Linked DNA regions of Ovis aries. The protein of the gene in region 1 purifies or fractionates together with the protein of each later gene. This does not show direct contact. Links are inferred from orthologs where the notes say so. Each region holds a gene or a part of one and is shown in the gene's direction. Other genes may lie near its edges. The genes, in order: RAB6B and SLC12A4.

Region 1 (4,305 bases):
GGAAATATACAATGGAGAAAACACAGTCTCTTCAATAAGTGGAACAGTTGTACTGACTTGGGTTCTAGATATTCACCCAAACATTCAACAATTATTTCCTAAGCTCAAAGTTAAGTCTTTGGGATTCAGCAGTGGAGACTCAACTGCTGATCTGGAACTCATCCTATAGTTTTTAATAAGCAATGAGAGAAAGATTCTAAGTAATAAACCAGGGAGTCAGACAGGAAGACATTCCAAGCCAGCTATGTAAGTCAAAAAGAGCAACAAATGCCCCCTAGAAAACTCCAGAGATGAAGGTTGCTTCTCACCTTTCTCTCTGAATGAAACACACACACACACACACACACAAACTTGTTCCCTAACATCTAGGGTATAATCCCAAATGAACATTCATTGAACGGCCCTAAAAGAACAGACCACCTGCCTGCAGCACAGCAGAAGCAGCTTGGTGAAACCTCAGTTACCCAGAATGCTAGGACCCGGTTGGGAGAGCATCTAATGCCTGGCACCTGCTCCTTGTTCTCACCCACTCACAAATTATCTGTGTGCCTTAACAGGTCAGGTGAATGTAAAGGCAAATGGGAGGTCTCCCTCCTGTCCTCTGGGAGCTCATTGTCCAGATACGTCTAATTGCCAGGGCAAGGAGTGGTGGTGTCAGCCCAGAGATCCCAAGGTCCAGGGATCCAGGGATCCATCCTGGAGATGGAGGAGCTGACATTCGGGGCCTCGTTCCTCTTCTCTCCCACGGGTCATTAGGTTTAGGATAAAGTGGTGCTTAGGAGCGGTTGAAGCAGGGTGCTCCTTTTATCGGAGCTCCTCTCCAGTTGGGCATGTCTGTGGGTGGGTGGGGGGGACACCTATGACTCTACAGAGGGGCCCAAGAGGAGGGATCTGGAGAGAAGAGAGGAGGGAGGGCCAGACACACGTACAAGATGCCAGTAGAGCCGGTCTGCGCCCACACGGTCCACCACACCCTGGCTCACCGACCCTCCCCCCCGCTCCCCGCCCCCCGCCCCCCGCCCTGACTTCTTTCATTTTCACCCTCTCGGATGGCTGGGCTGTGTGTATCAGTGTCGCAGGGGTAGAAAGAAGGGGTAACATCTAGGTTTAATTAACAAATATCCCTTGACAATTTCACGTCATTTTCTGCATTCAAAAGGGAGATGGAGTGGGGAAGACAGACGCAGTGGGGCAATGAGAGAGGGTCCGATTCGGTAGCCTCTTCAAGGAACGGCTGAGCGACCCTCTCTCGCCCGAGTGCGGGCTCCGGGTGGGTGGACTGACGCCCCTCAGCCCCGCAGCGCCACGGGCCCCGCATGACATCAGAGGCTAGGGAGCGCGCAGAGCGCAGGCGCGGGCGGAGAAGCAAGGCGGGAGGGGGGCCGACTGGTGCGGCTCGGGAGAGCGCTCCTCCGCCCCGCGCGCCTGAGCCCCGCTCCGCCCGATCCTCGCAGTCTGCGCCGCGCCTCGGGCGTCCAGAGCGCGCCGCATCAAGCGCCGCCTGCGGCCGCCCAGCCCCATCCTTCCTCCTCCTCCTCCTTATCTTTCTCCTCCTCCTCCGCCACCGGACACGCAGCCGCAGGCCGGGGCCGGGACGCAGCTGGGGAGCCAGGGACGCGCGCAGCCAGCCCTTCCCCCTCCGGCTCCCGCACCGCCGGCCGCCTCCCCTCGCCCTCCTCCTCTCCCCTCCCTGCTCCTTCGCTTCTCCTCCTCCTCCTCTCCCAGCCCCAGCTGCCAGCACCATGTCCGCAGGGGGAGATTTTGGAAACCCACTGAGAAAATTCAAGTTGGTCTTCCTGGGGGAGCAGAGCGGTAAGTACCCCGCTTATTCCCCGGGTTTGGAGTCGAGCCCACCCCCGCCGCCAAATCATCCACCCCACTGGGACCCCGACCTCGGCTCGAAAAGGCCCCTCGGTGCCCGGGTAGAGAAGAGGTTTGGGGATGGGGAGGTCGTGGCCGGCTCGGAGGGGCCGGCAGGGGAGGCTCCAGGCGTAAGGGACGACGAGGCGCTGGGGCCAGAGGTGGGGGCGAGGGTGGGATCTGGGGTGGGGGCTCGGGGTGCGGCGCGCCGGGGACACCGGAGGGCGGCGGCTCGCTCGGCGGCGCCGGCCGCGGGCGTGAAGGCTCCGGGCTCGCTGGCTCGCTCGCACTGCGGCACCGGCTGCGGGCGACCGCGCAGGTGGCGGGGCGCCGATGAGGGTCGCAGGGAGGGCGATTGCACCTCTTTAGAGAACGAGACGGCACTGGCGTCTGGCCGCTCCCCAAACCGCGGCACCGGAGGGGCTCCCTGGGGCCCCTGACGGGAACCGTAATTGCAGACACGTCCAGGCCCTGGGGCAGACGGCCGCGGCGAGAAGACCGACATCTGTCTCTTCTGAAAAGAGCAGGTGCAGATCGTCGGGGAACAGGGCGCCCACCTCCCCTGACTTACGTCCGACTGGGCACCGAATGTTCTAGACCCGTCGCCCTTCGCTGCTGTGTATTAGCCGCTTTCGGGCTCAGGGGTCTGAGCGATGACAGCAGGGGGTCCCCAGTGCAGGGCAGATTTGGGGGATGGAACCGGGGCGCCTTGCACCGAGAGCCGCGAAGCCCGGCGCTGGGCAGAGAAAGGACCAGGCGACACGCCCTGCCTGGCTTCCCAGCACCCCTCCCAAGAGCGTTCTCGGCGGATTCTTCCAACCCCCACCTCCCAGCTCACCGCCCTTCTTGGGGGAGGGGAGGCCACCGTGGCAGCGGGCCAGGGGCCAGGGAGACGAGGAGACAAACGGCTTTCCTGCTGTCTGGTAGCTCCCCCGGGGAAAGCGTCTCTGAAAGCCAGGTTAGTCCTGAGGAGGGAAGACCAGCCTGAAGAGCATGGAGCCTCTGACACTTGTAGGAAGGAGTGGTTCTCAGAGCATCCCTGCAGAGGCCTCTCACCTGAGGCTGCGGGGAGACAGGCTGGGCCCTGACCTGCTCTGGGAGAAGGCTGTCTCTGGAGGCAGGACCACCAGCTGTAGCTCTACAAACCAGTCCGGTTCACCTGGTCTAGTGCCTGTCTGTACAAGGGGCCGCAACACACACAATCTTGGGAGGACCTGGTGAGCTCCAGGTGCTGCTGTGATATGTGTGTACATATTGCTTGTGGAGGTCACATGACAGTCGCCTGCCTGCCGCTGCTCATTAGCTGGGATGCAGGGATGGCTCCGAGAAGGGTGTCAGAAGGTGGCCAAGCTCTGACATGGGTTTTAGGGCCAAGCTGGGCATTTCTGAGCAAGATGAACTCAGCCAGCCAGCCCTGTGTCCTGGACTTTTGAGTTTCTGATCTTAGTAGATTCCAGTTTCACAAAACTAACTTTTTCTTGTGCCTAAAGGGATTTGGGAGTAGAGGGATTGGTCTTCACATTACAGGGCTAATCCAACCGGTGCTAGAGCCCTGGGAGTTGAATTCTTAGCTGTGTTCCCTTGAGGAGATTTCGAAGCCTTTCTGAGCCTTAGTTTCTGTCTCTGTAAGATGGTTGCCTGAGGGTCGTTTTCTTACCCCTTCATGTTTCCTCAGTGTCTCTCAAAGGGCTGGACCCTGAGAGGTTGTCAGTAAACACAGTTTTATTCCAAGTCTGAATATGCTTCAGTGAAGGAGGTTTGGTGAGGAGAATGCATCTGGTGTATTTGAGTGAAAACTCTGGGCTCCCTCAGAACCTCTGATGGGCTGAGGCCCCTGATGAGCTCTGCAAACCACCTTTGCACCTAAAATCACAGAAACAAGAGCTGAAGCCCTCAGAGCGTGAGCCCCCATGTTTATAAGGGAAGCCCAGCATGTTTATAAGGATAGGGTGTGGACCCAGAGGTCTATTGTGAGTTGCTAACACTTCTGGGACTGAAACTCGTGTCTCCTGTTCCCGGTCACTAACATGCCATTGGGAAATGAGGTGACCTTGAATTGGGAAAGCCAAGAATTGGGAATCTTTAATCTAGGAGGTGGTGGTTACCAAACTCTGGCCAGGATTATGGCTGGGTTGGGTGACCTGGTGGGAATGCCAGGCTAGTCGTTTGGGATCATGGTTTCTGAGCCCTTTGAACATGGTCATTAGGAGAAAAGGCACTGCCATTAGCCACATTGATTCTTTCTGGCAGGGAGCTCTAAGGCCCTGAAGACTCCTCCCACTTTATTAGGTCATTAGTGGGTTATTTACCTTCAATTTTACAGAGCTTTGGGGTCCCCGAGTTATGCAGGGGACATGTGCATCCCTGAGCCTGACGAAACAGAAAAATTACCACCACAACCATGACTTCCATCTTGCCTGCAAGCGCTTTTACACATGTTGGTCC
Region 2 (2,981 bases), on another chromosome or scaffold:
GGGCAGGGCAAGGGCCCTGGGAAAGTCTCCTCGCACCCTCAGCCACACCCTAGCCGGGAGCTCTGCCCAGCAACTCGTCTGTGACCCTGTCTAGGGTTGAGGATGCAGCTGGCAGACGGGTTAGGCTGTTGGGGGATGTTTGCCTAGCAGAGCTCAACCTTCTGAACCTCTGCCTTCCAGTGCTTACTCAGATGTTTTAAAGAGACCAGTAGGTCCCTTGTGCCTCTATGGGAGATACCCAGAGCAGGGACGGGCAAGCAGCAATCTCAGCCCCCTTGATGAGCCGCCACTGTCCATACACCTGTTTTCAAGTTGCTTGCTTTTAAAGTTCTGGAGTCAGCTGGGCATTTGAACCTGCCAGTGCCCTGCAGGAGGTGGCAAACACGCAGCAGTTTCCAGGGGTCTCAGAGACAGTTAGTGTCCTCGTTCTGCTCACCTCCACCAGTGCCAGGGCCACTGTGCCCTCCTCACACGCCTTGCTCCACAGCCAGTGCCCTCTTGCTTGTTCCATTGTGTCTGAGCCACCCTTTACCACCCCACTCGGCTGGTAGGACTGACAGAGCTCCCTTCCCCCTGAAGCTGCGCCTCCCAGCCACAGCCAGGCCTGCCGGAGTCAGTGCTCCCCTGTTCCCCCAACACACCTCCGCCCAGCTCCACCTACACCTGAAACTACCCTTGCCGCAGTTGTCTCAGGCGGTGGCCCCTTAACACCCATGTCAGGATGTGTCAGCCTTGATGCTGAGGCTGCTTCTCCTGTAGCCCTAACGGGACTGAGCATGCCCCTACTGTGAGAGTCCCTGCCCCCGGCCTGCCCTCTCTCGTCAGCCCTGCTGCCTCCTTGTCTGTCCTTCCTCACCCACCAGCTGAGGGTAGAAGTGGGCAGCCACTCCCCTCAGCCCTCTGCCTTTCCTGTCTTTCTTGGGGGGCTCAAGCAGTAGGCCTCTTCCATCCTGGTCTCCCACACCCACTGAAGTGTCCCTCAAGTGTCTCTAATGCAGTGACTCTAAATGGCCCTCTTTGGACGCCCTCTCCCCACACTCATGACAGCCCCTCATCCAACTGGTCCCCCAGGCCAGAGGCCTGGCTTTTGTCTAGCTGCATCCAGGCATTGAACTTCCCTTTATACCATCCTCTTCCACAGCTGTTCCCCCTGTCCGCAACCCCCTCGTGGTCTCAACATCCTCTGAGACCAGGCTCTGCAGGCACCACCACAATGTCCCATCCACATCTGGCCCGGGGCGTGGGCAAAGTGAGGCCGAGACGACCTGCCTGACTGTGCCGGGCAGGGCTGTGACAGTCTCGGCTCCTCACCTAGGCCCAGGCTGGGGAGGGTCCGGGACTTCGGGCACCTGGCTACCAAGCGGGCCGCTCAGTCCCAGCTGCTCCCTGTGCCGCAGGTTCTTCCTGATGTGCTACCTGTTTGTGAACCTGGCCTGTGCTGTGCAGACACTCCTGAGGACCCCCAACTGGCGGCCTCGGTTCAAGTACTATCACTGGTACGTGCCAGCTGGGCCCCTGAGCCAGGTTCTCTGACATGAGAGTTATGTGGGAAACCATTCTGGATGGGGTTTGAACTTTCTGGGCAACAGTTTCTATTGGGAGACTGGGAGGTCCTTCCCTGACTCTGGCCCTTTTCCCATCTCTGGCCCAGGGCGCTGTCCTTCCTGGGCATGAGCCTCTGCCTGGCCTTGATGTTTGTCTCCTCCTGGTACTATGCCCTGGTTGCCATGCTCATCGCCGGCATGATCTACAAGTACATTGAGTACCAAGGGTGAGTGTGGGAGCACCCACTCGGGTGCTCAGGGCTGCTGGGCTGGGCTGTAGTTGGGTGTGGGAAGCTGAGCCATCCTTCTTTAAGCCACCATGGCACGGGGGTTGCGGGGCTGTGACTTGGGCCTGGTCCCTTCCATCCCACATACACATGGACACAAGTCCTAGGGGTTTACCCATCAGCCTTTGGGGGCTTCTGCAGGGCTGAGAAGGAATGGGGCGATGGGATCCGAGGCCTGTCCCTGAGCGCTGCCCGCTATGCCTTGTTGCGGCTAGAGGAGGGCCCTCCTCACACCAAGAACTGGCGGTGAGTCACCCGGGCCTGGCGGGGACAGTCGAGGTTTTCAGGGGGCGACCCTGTGAGAGGGGAGAGTCACGAGGTGCTGGCTTCCCTCCCTAGTCCGTGTTCCCTGTCCTGAGCTGCCAGGGGCACCATCCTGCTTATCGGGCCCTTGGATCACTGCTACCTGAGGGGGCCTGGGAGCCAAGAGAGGAGGGAGCTGGGCTCCCTGCAGATCTCGGGCCCTGATCTCAGGCTGCCTCTCCATCCGGCCACTCAGGCCTCAGCTACTGGTGTTGCTGAAGCTAGATGAGGACCTTCATGTGAAGTACCCGCGGCTCCTCACTTTCGCCTCCCAGCTTAAAGCTGGCAAGGGCCTGACCATCGTCGGTTCTGTCATCCAGGGCAGCTTCTTGGAGAGCTACGGAGAGGCCCAGGCCGCTGAGCAGGTACTGCTGGGGCGGGAGTCAGGGGTAGGAGGACCCTAAACCAGACTGGAGATGTCTGGGCTGTAGCTGGTGCATAGGGGAGGGGACCAGTCCTGGCCAGCCAGGTGAGCTGAGAGCGGGAGCCAGGTGGGTATGAAGGTTCCATCTTGCAAGCATGGCCTCTGGGTGGGCAGCTTGCCCCCATCTTCTCCCCCACCACCAAGCAGCTCTGTACCCTGGGGCCTGGGCAGGGAACCCAGCAGAGGGGACATGGATGGCCTTGCCTTCTGACCCGGGTATGTTCCCTACAGACAATCAAGAACATGATGGAGATTGAGAAGGTGAAGGGCTTCTGCCAGGTGGTAGTGGCCAGCAAGGTGCGGGAGGGGCTGGCTCACCTCATCCAGTCTTGTGGCCTGGGTGGCATGAGGCACAACACCGTGGTGCTGGGCTGGCCCTACGGCTGGCGACAGAGCGAGGACCCACGCGCCTGGAAGACCTTT

What was found.
Region 2: the proteins of RAB6B (region 1) and SLC12A4 purify together in Homo sapiens (co-immunoprecipitation; 3 studies listed by BioGRID and IntAct, with this or other methods). This does not show direct contact. The link is inferred for Ovis aries from reciprocal best matches to the Homo sapiens genes RAB6B and SLC12A4.

Annotation. Positions count from the first base shown.
Region 1 is NC_056054.1:256,108,092-256,112,396, forward strand, and holds the start of RAB6B (ras-related protein Rab-6B), read left to right. Parts: upstream 1-1,342; 5' UTR 1,343-1,742; coding exon 1,743-1,812; intron 1,813-4,305. UniProt on the Homo sapiens protein: The small GTPases Rab are key regulators of intracellular membrane trafficking, from the formation of transport vesicles to their fusion with membranes. Rabs cycle between active GTP-bound and inactive GDP-bound states.
Region 2 is NC_056067.1:34,989,935-34,992,915, reverse strand, and holds part of SLC12A4 (solute carrier family 12 member 4), read left to right. Parts: intron 1-1,397; coding exon 1,398-1,496; intron 1,497-1,651; coding exon 1,652-1,771; intron 1,772-1,972; coding exon 1,973-2,077; intron 2,078-2,330; coding exon 2,331-2,499; intron 2,500-2,789; coding exon 2,790-2,981. UniProt on the Homo sapiens protein: Mediates electroneutral potassium-chloride cotransport when activated by cell swelling. May contribute to cell volume homeostasis in single cells. May be involved in the regulation of basolateral Cl(-) exit in NaCl absorbing epithelia.